3 linked regions of the Tamandua tetradactyla genome follow. The main gene of each other region encodes a partner of the protein of the gene in region 2 in a complex. Links are inferred from orthologs where the notes say so. Each region holds a gene or a part of one and is shown on either strand. Other genes may lie near its edges.

Region 1 (3,742 bases), on a different chromosome or scaffold from region 2:
GCGTCTTACTAAGCCGCCATCTTCTCCGGAAGTCCCCACATTCATCACTTTTAAGTTCTGCCTTCCATCCAACACCAGAACTCAATTTCGCCAAGTTCTCTGACCCTTCATAACAAGGATCATCTTTCCTCCAGTTCCCAATAACACATGTATCATTTCCATCAAAGTCCTCATTGGAAGTTACTTCAATATCCATTTTTCTAACAACAGTGTCTTCAAAACAGTCTAGGCCTTTTCTATCAAGTGCCTCACAATTCTTCCAGCCTCTACCCATTATCCAATTCCAAAGACATTTCCACATTGTTAGTTATTTGTTATAGCAGAACTTCAGTTTAACCAGCTCCAAGGACTATTTTAGTTTCCTAGCTGCCAAAGCAAATAGTGTATAATGGGTTGGCTTAACAACAGGATGATATTGGCTCATGGTTACAGAGCTTTGCTTTCTTCCTGGTCAGTATGTTCTGGGTGGCTGGCAATATCTAGGGTTCCTTGGCTTTTCTGTCACATGACAATGCATATGGAGGCGTCTTCTCCTTTCTCTTCTGTGTTCTTTTGACTTTCAGCTCCTGGCTACTCCCTGTGACTTCTCTTTTTCATGTCCAATTACCAATGGTTATAAGAACTTCAGCCTTATAGGATTAAGGTCCACCCTTATTCATTTGGGACACAGCTTAACCATTTACAAATGGGTTCACCCCCATGGGACCAGGACTTGTGACCTGAACATGCCTTTTGAGGGGACATGATTCAATCCCAACACCATTAATTTGCTGAGTGCCCATTCCCTCCCAAACTCTGGACAGGTAGGTGCAGGGGACAGAGAAATATCTGAACAGTCCAGCCCAACTCTTCAAGGAGCTTCTAGTCCAGTGGCCACTGTGTACCCATGGGCAAGTCATTCTATCCTCCTTCATGTCAATGTCCTCTTTTGTAAAATGTACAAGAGCTCCTGCTTTTCCTCCTCAAGTGACTTGTTATGCGGATTGAGAGAATGTGGAAGCAAGAGCCATCTTAAGACATGGAAAACCTGAAGTTATGCAAATTCAGTGGTGTACCTGGGAAATGTTTGCACCTGCTGTGTCTCCTCTCTGGCAAGGCTGCTACCCCCTGCGGGAGCCCATGAGGCTGCAGCAGTGCCCAAGACAGTTAGAGTCTCTGCCCACACAGACACACGGAGGTCACCACCAGCACAGACACTGGGGGTCTCCATCACAAATACACAGGGGAGGGGAGGTCCCTGCCAGCACAGACATTAGTTGTAGGGAGCTCCCCCTGCACACACACAAGTCCTGACCACACAGTCACACAGGGGTGAGGGTCCCCTCCAGCATAGATATTGGGGGTCTCCACCCCAAACACACATGGAGATGGGGAGCTCCTCCTACACACACACACACACACACGGGGGACCCTGCCCTCACAGTCACATGGTGGTGGGAGTGTCTGCCAGCACAGACATTGGGGGTCTCTGCCCCCAAACAGACATGTAGGGGTGGGGTCTCTGCCTGCACATACCCGCGAGGCTGCCTTCCTGCTCAGACACAGACAGCAAGTCCTGAGACGTGGCCTCTGAGAATTTTACAGCAGGGAACCCCTGGATCTGAATGATGGAGGGGGCTTCCTGAGGGAGAACAGAGTGGTTCATCCCAAAGAGCCCTGGGGAGGTGTCATCCGAGCAGAGAGAGCCATATGCTCGGCTATGGTCATGCCGAAGAAAGATTTTGGGTTTTCTTGAACCTGAAATCCTAAACTGGGTTCAAGTGGTTTTATAGGTTAGGACAAAATTCAAGCCCAGAGATAGAAGTGGAGCCTGAGAAGAGGAGTGATCCTGGAGATACACCTACTGATTTAGGATCCGGCTCCAGTCTTGCCAGCTTTGACTTCAGGGGAACAACCCTGCCCTTGTGACTCCAATTTCCTCCTCTGCCAAATAGGAATAGGGACGCCCTTCTGCTGACATCTCAGAGATGACAGGCATGTCAGGTGAGCTTTGAAGTTGAACCCTGGCCCTGTTTCTGGTCCACCATCCCCCACTTCCTCGAGCACAAAATAGGAATCAAGACCCCACAGCCTGGGACCGCTCAGGCAGCTGGCATGGGCACAGTGCCCAGTTTCTTGGTAGCCAGCCTATACTAGGCACCCTGGGATCCAGCGGTAAGAACTCCGTCTATGAGCAGAGGCTGCCAGGCCAGGCGCCCACATCCCTCTGCCTGGGAGTCTGCCCCCCACAGTGTCCAGCCAGGCCAGCTTCTCCTCCCTTCTCCTCAGCCCTCAGGGGCCTTGCCATCCCGGGGAAATGAGCCCTGGGCTCCTGACTTTCTCCCATCTTGTTTCAGGGTGAGTCCCTTAGCTCTTCCTCAGGCCTATGATTCCAGAGCAGGGACTCCTAACCATTTCCCGGAGCTGGCAGAATGTGGGTGCCTAGTGGCCCACAGGCATGGTGCTCTCTTACCTTGTCAGGACAGAGGTCTCGCTGACTCCCTGCTCCTCCACCGTTAGCACTCTAAGAGGGCAGGGGAGAGTGGCCTGGTGGCAGCCTCAGGCTTCAGGTGTGTCAGGGAGTGAGGGAGGGGGATGGGCCCGAAGAGGAAATGGCCAAGCCCTCTGGGTACACGTAATTTATTACAGGACTTTGTCCTCGGTCTCCAGGCACATCCCCTCCCTCCCACCTGCTTCCTGCAGCCCCAGCCCTCAGAGCCCCATGTGTCTGATCTTTAACCCAGGGCCCTACAGCAGGGAGGGGCTGTTCCCTTCCCTGGAGGCCTGGGGATCGCCCTCTGTGCCTCTGCTTCTGGCCACCAGCCAGATCCCATGGTGACAATCAGCTAATCCTGTTGGGGAGGCCTCAGCATCTTCCCAGGTGTCTGGGAGGCCCCAAGAAGCCGACATTCTAATTGGGGGTACATGGACAGGAAGTGCCTGGGGCAGGCAGCAGGCCTTATATAAGAGAGAGTTAAAAGCCATCAGCAGGGGTCCCTGGGAGCAGAGATGGGTGGGCTTGGGCTAGAACTTGAAAGGAGGGGGATTTGAGCTCTGAGGCAAATACAGACCGCTCTTAAAAGGCAAGGCATCATGGTGGTATGGCCCCATGTGACCTGAGACAGTCCCTACAAGTACATGGGAAGGGTGACTGGCAACCCAGCTTTGAAGACAGACGGAAAATGAGTGCATCAGAGATACCTGCTCAGCCCGCAGCCTTTTCCTTGAGTGAAGAGGGTCTTTGGTGGTCCATCCAGTTGGCCCAACTTGAGCCAGTCAGATTCTGCCTGTGTCTCAGGTCTTGGAAAGAACATAGGCGCTGCAGGGAGATGGCACAGGACAAGCCATCATCCTTTAGGTCTAGTTCAGGCCAAGGCAGGGCCAGCCACCTGGAATTTGGGCATGTAGGGGGGAACTGGTGGGAGAGAGAAAGAGAAGCTGGCGGCAGAGGGTTTGGCCAGGAGGACCCAGAGGAGGCAGGACTATGGTTGCCCCACAGCTGCCTGTACTTCTTGTGGTTGGACTGCGTGGAGACCCCAGGCACCTGATACCAAATGTTCCTTTGTTGAACCGGCTCGAAGGAGTTTCTGTTTACCCTTTTTCAGCCCATGACAAAGTTACGGAAGCAACTTGGGAGACGCTTAACGAAGGACCATTTGGAGGAAACTGTGTGTGCTGAGCCTTTCAGCCACCTAAAATCTCATCCAGTTTCTGGGCCAACCCTTGCTTTTGCGAGTTTCATACTATACGTGGCTTCTTTTTT
Region 2 (3,742 bases):
AGCGTCATCCCTTGTGTTCAGTCACTTGAGAAAAAACGTACAGCGCCCACGTGGGCTGGGGGAGGTATAAGGACGAACTAGCCCAATGAGCCTTCTAACCTCATTGGACCGAGTCATCCCCAAAGCTCAAACCTTCCCATAGCTCCCACTGGCAACAGGACACACTACTGCTCTCAGCCTGGCCAGCAAGAGTCTCACGGACCCTGGCCTCTCTTTCCCAAGCTTCTCTCCTTTCCCCACTGTGGCCCAGTGGCGTCTAAAGCTCCTGTGCTCATCCACACCCCACACTTTCCTCCCTCCTTGCATTTGCGTGTTCCGTTCCTCTGCCCAGAACGCCTTCCCTTGCCTCCCACATGTGTGCAAATTCTTTCCATCCTGTAAGGTTCAACCCAGCAAGGCGCAGTGCTAGACCTGCCTTGTTCATCCCCACCTCCCTTCCCCAGCAGGCTTAAGGACAGAGTAACTAGGAACGAAAAATCAGTGAATGGAATTCACCATGGACTGGTCCTGGGGAAAGGTCTTGACAAAGCCATGGAAGCCCCTTTCCCAGGTCTCTGCCACCCCCCAGGGAGCTCTGAGGGACCCCTTTCTCCTCCTCAGGCCAAGGTCTGGGACTGAAGTGACAGGCACATCAATTCCAGCCCCCAGTCACTGCCCACCACTCTGCCTCTCGGTCTGCCCCTCTAAAACATGGGGACAATCTACGTTCTAGAGATGACAGTTTCCTATCCCCAATTCCCACCCCACTCCCCGCTTTCAAAGAGTAGCTTCCGAAATGAACACAGGGGTGAAATCAGGGTGGCTTCTGGGCGCCCACCCGTTGCCCACCCTGTCTGCCTGAGGCATTCAGACTCCTGGGAACCGTATCTGGCTTGGAAGGGGCAGACACACCCTGACCACGGGGCCCAAGGTGCAGCCCTGCCTGCCCAGGGAAGTGCTGGTGCCTCAGTCTCAGCTGAGAGGTGATGTCAACCACAGTCTAAATACTGTGTGGCTCTAAGACCTCCTATTACAATCTGGAATCTCTGGGAATGAGACGCCCCCCCCCCCCCCCCCACCAGGCCTGCCCAGAGCCTCCGGGAGGGCAGAGAGGGATGTGCCTCCTCCTTGCACACTTTCACTTCCATTTTCTCACTGATTTCCCAAAACTGTTGCCCAGGTAGGAATTATATTTCTGGGTTTCCAGTGAGGAAACTGGGGCACAAAGAAAGTCAGAAACGGTAGCCTAAGAGCAAGGGACAGAGGTGTTCAATCCAGCCTGTCTCCAAAGCCAGGAGTCTCTGGGCAAGCCAGGCACAAACCCAGCCAGTGTGGCCTGTGGCAGGGATGGGGGACCCGGGAGGGAGCTGGGTTTCCTGCCACTGTGGTCCCCTACAGTGCCCATCCCCCAGGCTGCTGCATCCAGCACACAAAGAGTCAAATGGCCCTGGGTTCAGAGTCCAGCTTTTCACTTACCTGCCGTGCAACCCCAGGCAAGCCCTTTCTCCTCTCTGTGCCTCAGTTTCCCTTGCTGAGAAGGGGACGATGACAAGGACCACAAAGTCCACATACCGGCCACGGCCTGTTTCAATCAGCTGGACCTTAATGTCGATTGAGTCTCTGCTTTGTACTTGGTGCCCCTATCCCTCAAGTTCCTGCTTCAGGGAGGTGGCCTAGGCCTGGCCCCGGCTGTCAGCTGAGTCTCTGTCTCAGACGCCATAGTGAGGCGATGCGCCAGGCCCAGGAAGGGGCCTGAGCCCAGTGGGTGTGATTCCAGAGTTTAGTCCTGGCCTGGAGCTTCCTCCAGAAGGGACCTTGGGGTAACCCCACTTCCCTTCATCCGGGACCCTCCATGAGTCCAGTGACCCAAGCAGTTGGAAGGAAAGGGCGCCATCAGAACCCTGGGAAGGAGGTATCATTAACCCCACCTTGCAGAACCTGAGACCCTAGGTGGGCAATGGCTCCCTCTGGCCGGGGCTCCCACCCAGCTGCCAGGGGACACTGAAAGACACCCAAAGCTCACGTTGGTCCCCACTGGCCCCAGCCTACCTCCCCCTGACCAGGAGACCCCACCGTGCCCCAGTCGAGCTGCGGAGATCCTACCTGTGCCCCGGAAGGGGCCGCAGAGGCGGCAGGTGGGCACTGGCAGGCACAGGTGCTCAGCTGGCAGACTTTGGCACTATACCCGCCTCCCTGGGCAATCATTAACCCTGCCGGGGACCGCACCTCCTGGAGTGGGGCTGATGCCTCAGGAGACCCGACCCAATTGAGGAGGGGGCTAGAGGCGGGACTGAGGCCCAACCCCGGGTCAGGCAGGAAGTTGGGAGGAGGATGGTCCGAGTGTGACAGTCAGGTCCCGTAGTCCCCTCTCAATCACAAGAGTCCTCAGTGACACGTGATGCATGGGGAAGCAATCAAGCATGTTAACGCCTGGCTCAGTGAATGCTGCGACAGCTGTCATTATCCACCCTCTTTGACTTGAGGTCTTCTCAGGGTATCTACCCTCCCTGAGGTACCAGGCCCCCAATTCCTTCTACTCCTGCCACAGTGGCCCAAGGACCCCTGGGTTGACAAAGGACAGAGGGGGCCCTAGGGACAAGCTCAGAAGCCCGAGCCTTCTGCCCCTTTCTGGCTGGATGGCTTAGAGAGGTTACTGCCCCTCTCCCTTTGAAACCCTCCTGTTTGGATCCTGAGGTGCTGGTTCCCCCACCACTACCTGTGCGGGTGGACTGGGGGTAGTCAGCCCAGGACGGGTGCTCAGTGCGCCCCAGGTGTCCCAAAACAGACCAAGAGCTGCAAATACACTTTGACTTCATCCTCCCACCCCCCAAGCTCCAGGGAAGCCCTGGGGGGAGATGTCCTTGTGTGTTCCAGCAGTGGGAGTCTGCATTTATTGAGCACCTTTGGTGTGCTTTACATCACGCTCTCACTGACTCCCCTTATCACCAGGGAGAGGCAGGTACCCTTATAATTATCCCTGATGGACAAATGGCTGCGCCAGCTCCAGGGACCCGCCACGTGGAAAGGGGAGGCGGAGGAACCCCACCCCTTACCCAGCCTCTCCTCACCTTCCCAGGGCCCCCCTCATTGCTGCCCTGGCTGGAGGCCTCCCCCTCCCCCAGAAGGTTTTCCCTACTCCCTAGCAGGGAGCACCTAATGCTCTGCCTGCCAGCACCAATTCTCACTCCCCCTGATAACAGCACCCAAGTTTTCCTCTGGGGGGCCTCCCCACCCCTCCTTTCTCCACCCCACCTCTGGCGGTCATGTGACCCATGTCCAGCCAGTCAGAGCACAGCATCCCTTTGGTCACTGTGATTGGCCAGGTTTGGGCACCCGATGCAAGGCTGGGCCAATAAGAACCTATGGTGGGTCTCATCCGCACAAAGAACAGGAAGTGCCCCCAAATCCCTATAGATGGGGAGAAGGATCAAAAGAGGAGGCGTTATAACAGAGAAAATAGGGTCTAACAAATGAGCATGACTGCTGAATCACTATATCGATATTTCTTCTAGCCTCCAGTGTTTTGGAGCAGCCAGAAGGCAAAAATGTGAACTAGTGGAATGGTAACCCATAACAAACTTTGGAATCTGTTCTGTAACTACTTGTTAAAAATGTACTTTGAAAACTCTTTCTTTTCTTTGTATATATGTTATAGTTTATAATAAAAAGTCTTTAGAAAATGATAACCCCTCCCCCCCAAAGTGATTCCTTAGAGGTGTTTTAATGGGGAGGCAAAAAAATTTTGAAACTGGAGAGCCCTTCT
Region 3 (3,742 bases), on a different chromosome or scaffold from region 2:
TCAGTGCAGGAGGGACACCGGGAGCCCCCGCCCCGCCCGCACCACCGCACCTTGACTAGTAGGTGAAAGGTCATGGGTCTGGGGGCGCCCCTGGCCATGGTGAGGTTCCCCGACGTCCTGTTGATGGTGAATATCCCATCGCTGTTTTCTGGGGGGTGGGGGGTGCGGGCTCAGCCGGACCCTGGCAGGTAGGCCGGGGTGCCCTCTGCCGAGGTGGGGGCCACTCACCGTCCACAATGCTGTAGACGATGGGCTGGTTGAGGCCCCGGTCCCCGTCCACCGCGTAGATGGGTCCCGGACGCAGGGTGAGAGGGTCGGGCTGCAGGGGCCACAGAGCGATGGTGGGGGCTGAGCTGGTGACCCCCCCATGCCGCTCCCCAACCCCCTGCCACTGCCTGGCTGGGGAGACGCCTCACGAAGGGCCCTGTATATTTGTTTTAAAATGACCACCATGGAGATGGTCGCAGCCCTGACCCTGGCCCGCTGACGGGAGCCACTGTGCACACCCGGCCAGCGCTGCCCGCTGTACCAGCTGCTGCCCTGTGGGCACGGCGCCCTGGTACTGGGCCTGCAGGCAGACGTGGGCATCCGCATAGACGCAGGGCAGGAACCAGGGGGGCCTCAGGTCGGCAGGCAGGACCTTCAGGGTCAGCGTGGCCATAGCGGTGTGGCCGGGCAGGGCGCCCTCCTCCGGGGTGTCCTGTAACAGCGTCCCCGCAGCTCAGGCCGGGTGCCTGGGGCTGGGGCTCAGTGGGGGCACGGGAGGTGGGGGGCTGCTCACCCGCACCAGCAGCCGGAACGTCATGGCCGGCCACCTGTCGAAGTCCAGTGGCTGGTCCAGCCTCAGGGCGGGGCGGTTGGCACCCACCAGGGAGAAGAAGTGACTGGCACCCTGCGGGGGGGGGGGGGCGCAGCCTGAGACTCTGGGAGGAGGCAGAGCAGCTTGTGGGGGAGTCGGTGGGGGTGGGGGGGAGTCAAGAGGTGGGGGGGAGTGGGGGGGCCGGAGGGGGGGTGGGCAGCACGGACCAGGGTCTCTTCCTGGAGGGTGTAGAACAAGATGTCGTCTTTGTCAGGGTCCTTGGCCTCCAGGTCTGTCTCCGGGATGACAATGGAGCCCACTTTCGCGTCCTGGCGAGAAAGGGCCGCGTTCCCGCGCCATGCGCGCACGACCCGGCCGCCCGCCCTGCGCCCCGCCCGGCCCCGCGCCCTCTACCCCCGCCCCGCTCACCTCGCTGACGTTCGCGCTCGTGTTGGGGAAGGGGAAGACCGGCGCGTTGTCGTTGACGTCCAGCACCGACACGAACACGCGCAGCTGCGTCACCTGCGGGCGGGCGCGGTGTGGGCAGGTGCCCGGGAGCGGGCCGTGGGGGGCGCAGCTCGCGGGGGACCTGGGGAGGCGGGAGGGCGGAGCCGGGCTCCTACCTCCGCTCAACTTCCTACCTTTGAAATGATCCCAAGAAAAGGTTAAAAAATAACTAAAGCAGGGTCAGGGGCTGCGGGGGGCCTCGTCAAAGCCCCCGAGGAGGGGGGGCGCAGGTCCAGGAAGAGGGTGACGAGCAGAGGGGCCCGCGGAGGCGGGGGGGCGGGGCCGGGCGTCGGGACAGGCGGGTCCTGAAGGCCATGCGGGGGCAGTGGGCTCCAGGGAGGTCGGGGCGGGGGATGGGGGGCGGGGCGGGGCTGGGGGCCGCTCCCCACCGCGGGGCGACCCCAGCCCAGCCCGGCGGCACTTACCACGGCGCCCCCCCTCTTGCACTCCAGGTGCGCCTGCAGCAGCGGCTGCGTCTGCGGGCCAGAGGGCGGGGGTCACCCGCGGGCACTCCATGGAGGCCCCCCAGGGGCTCGCCCTGCCCTGCCTGGACCGGCACCTCGTAATCCAGGGTCACGGTGAGAAACAGCCGGTCCTCCATGATCTGAAATGCGCCCGGGGTGGAAGAGGGCCCCAGGGTCACCTGTTGGTCCGGGGGGACGGAGATGTCCACCAGGGGCTCCGTCCAATTCCTGTTCTCCTCGATTTCGAAGAACGTCTGATTCACCGAGCAGGCTGCGCGATGGGAGTGCAGGGTGGGTGCTCTGGCTGGGTGCCCGGACCCCCGCGCCCTGCCGCCGCAGACCCCGGACCCCGCGCCTCCCCGCCCCCGACCCCGGAACCCCGCGCCCCGCCGCCCGGGACGCCCGACCCCCACGCGCCGCTACCTCGGACCCTGGAACCCCGCGCCTCGCACCCCGCGCCCGGCCTCTTCGGACCCCCGCTCCGGGCCACCCGGGACCCCGCCGTACCCTGGGCCCCGACGCCAGGGGCTCCGCCCAGCAGCCCCGCCAGCAGCGGCAGCAGCAGGACCCCAGCGCCCATGGCGCGCCCCGCAGGAGGGTCCCGGTGGTGCCTGGCGCCAACCCTGGGCGGCCTGAGCTGGCGCAGCCTCGGCGACCTTCGCCCCTGCCAGGCGCCGCCCCGGTTTATGGCCCTTTACTTCCAGTCTCCGCCAAGGCGGTTCCGCCAGCCAGTTCCAGTGGGGCCTCGTGCCGGGCAGGGGGGGCGGGGGCCTCCGGGGAGAAGACAGTGCACAGACGCCGGGACACAGAGTGGGGGAAAGGGGATCCACACCTGCTCGCAGGAGCTGGGCCTGGGCGGGGACGGGGGCGGGGGCGGGGGCTCGGCAGGGGCTGGGGCTGGAGCAGGAGCAGGGGCTGGGGCTGGGGCAGGGGCTGGGGCAGGGGCTGGGGCAGGGGCAGGGGCTCGGGCAGGGGCTGGGGCAGGGGCAGGAGCTGGGCCTGGGCTGGGACTGGGGCAGGGGCAGGAGCTGGGCCTGGGCTGGGGCAGGGGCAGGGGCTGGGGCTGGGGCAGGGGCTGGGGCTGGGGCAGGGGCGGGGGCTGGGGCTGGGGCAGGAGCAAGGGCAGCAGCCATGCCTTTGTCCTCTGAGTTTGGTGTGTCCCCTGTCCCCAGTCCCCAGCCTGCCCTCTACTTGTCTCTAGTCTCCTAAGGTCTCTCTCAAAGTTCCTGAGGTCGCAGTGGCAGTCCAGCTCCCCAGGTTGAGGGGGAAAGGCTCTGAGTTCCTACACCTCCAGTGCCAGAAACAACTCAGCTGCTTCTAGGTGGGCTCTGCAGGGGACAGAGCGATGGGACAGGACAGCTGAGCTCCTGGGGAGGGACCCTGGGTCTCCCCCCCACCTGCTGCCGTCCCTCCTTGGCCATCAAATCCCCCCTCCCCAAGTCCTGAGGTCAGCAGCTGTGGAGAGACCATGAGGTGAAACAGGGAGGGGAGTTGTCAAGAAGAGGGGAGAGATGGAGCTCACGCCCCCAGGCCTCGTACCAGCTGCTCCCTAACCCAGCAGCACTCGGTTTTCTCTTTGCTGATGGGGTCACTGCCTGCTCCTGGCCCTGACGCTGCTTTGTGACCCTGTCCCCAGGAGGCATCATGGCCGGCCCGGCGCCCAGGCTGGGAGGCATCAGCAGGCCGGCGCGGGGACCACCAGCCGGTCCCCTCGGCCCCACAGCCTCTCAGCCCCCAGCGAGCCCCTCACTCCTTCCACTCCTGCTCACATGGCCCCTGAGAGGGGGCGTCCGCAGCCTCCTACCCCTGCACTGCCTAGTGGACGGCTGGGGGTGCGTAGGGGACTCCCGGTAGGGGAGCTCCCGGAGGGGAGGGAGGTGGCGCTGATGCTGGCGAGAAGGAAGAAGGAACCGGGAAGAAGAGGGGTCAGCACTGCCTAGGGCTGGGGCTGCCCCGGGGACCCAGGCGCCGC

Evidence for each region. Proteins that work in one complex are often made in the same cells at the same time.
Region 1: CDHR2 (region 2) and MYO7B share a complex: the UniProt entries of both Homo sapiens proteins name them as parts of the IMAC/intermicrovillar adhesion complex. The link is inferred for Tamandua tetradactyla from reciprocal best matches to the Homo sapiens genes CDHR2 and MYO7B.
Region 3: CDHR2 (region 2) and CDHR5 share a complex: the UniProt entries of both Homo sapiens proteins name them as parts of the IMAC/intermicrovillar adhesion complex. The link is inferred for Tamandua tetradactyla from reciprocal best matches to the Homo sapiens genes CDHR2 and CDHR5.

Annotation. Positions count from the first base shown.
Region 1 is NC_135329.1:85,601,166-85,604,907, forward strand, and holds the start of MYO7B (unconventional myosin-VIIb), read right to left. Parts: upstream 2,574-3,742; 5' UTR 2,453-2,573; intron 1-2,452. UniProt on the Homo sapiens protein: Myosins are actin-based motor molecules with ATPase activity. Their highly divergent tails are presumed to bind to membranous compartments, which would be moved relative to actin filaments.
Region 2 is NC_135346.1:58,010,524-58,014,265, reverse strand, and holds the start of CDHR2 (cadherin-related family member 2), read right to left. Parts: upstream 2,450-3,742; 5' UTR 2,185-2,449; coding exon 2,083-2,184; exon of another isoform or gene 2,029-2,082; intron 1,991-2,028; exon of another isoform or gene 1,456-1,990; intron 1-1,455. UniProt on the Homo sapiens protein: Intermicrovillar adhesion molecule that forms, via its extracellular domain, calcium-dependent heterophilic complexes with CDHR5 on adjacent microvilli. Thereby, controls the packing of microvilli at the apical membrane of epithelial cells.
Region 3 is NC_135335.1:485,752-489,493, forward strand, and holds the start of CDHR5 (cadherin-related family member 5), read right to left. Parts: upstream 2,351-3,742; coding exon 2,278-2,350; intron 2,042-2,277; coding exon 1,866-2,041; intron 1,783-1,865; coding exon 1,732-1,782; intron 1,322-1,731; coding exon 1,229-1,321; intron 1,129-1,228; coding exon 1,027-1,128; intron 893-1,026; coding exon 782-892; intron 701-781; coding exon 530-700; intron 320-529; coding exon 229-319; intron 149-228; coding exon 51-148; intron 1-50. UniProt on the Homo sapiens protein: Intermicrovillar adhesion molecule that forms, via its extracellular domain, calcium-dependent heterophilic complexes with CDHR2 on adjacent microvilli. Thereby, controls the packing of microvilli at the apical membrane of epithelial cells.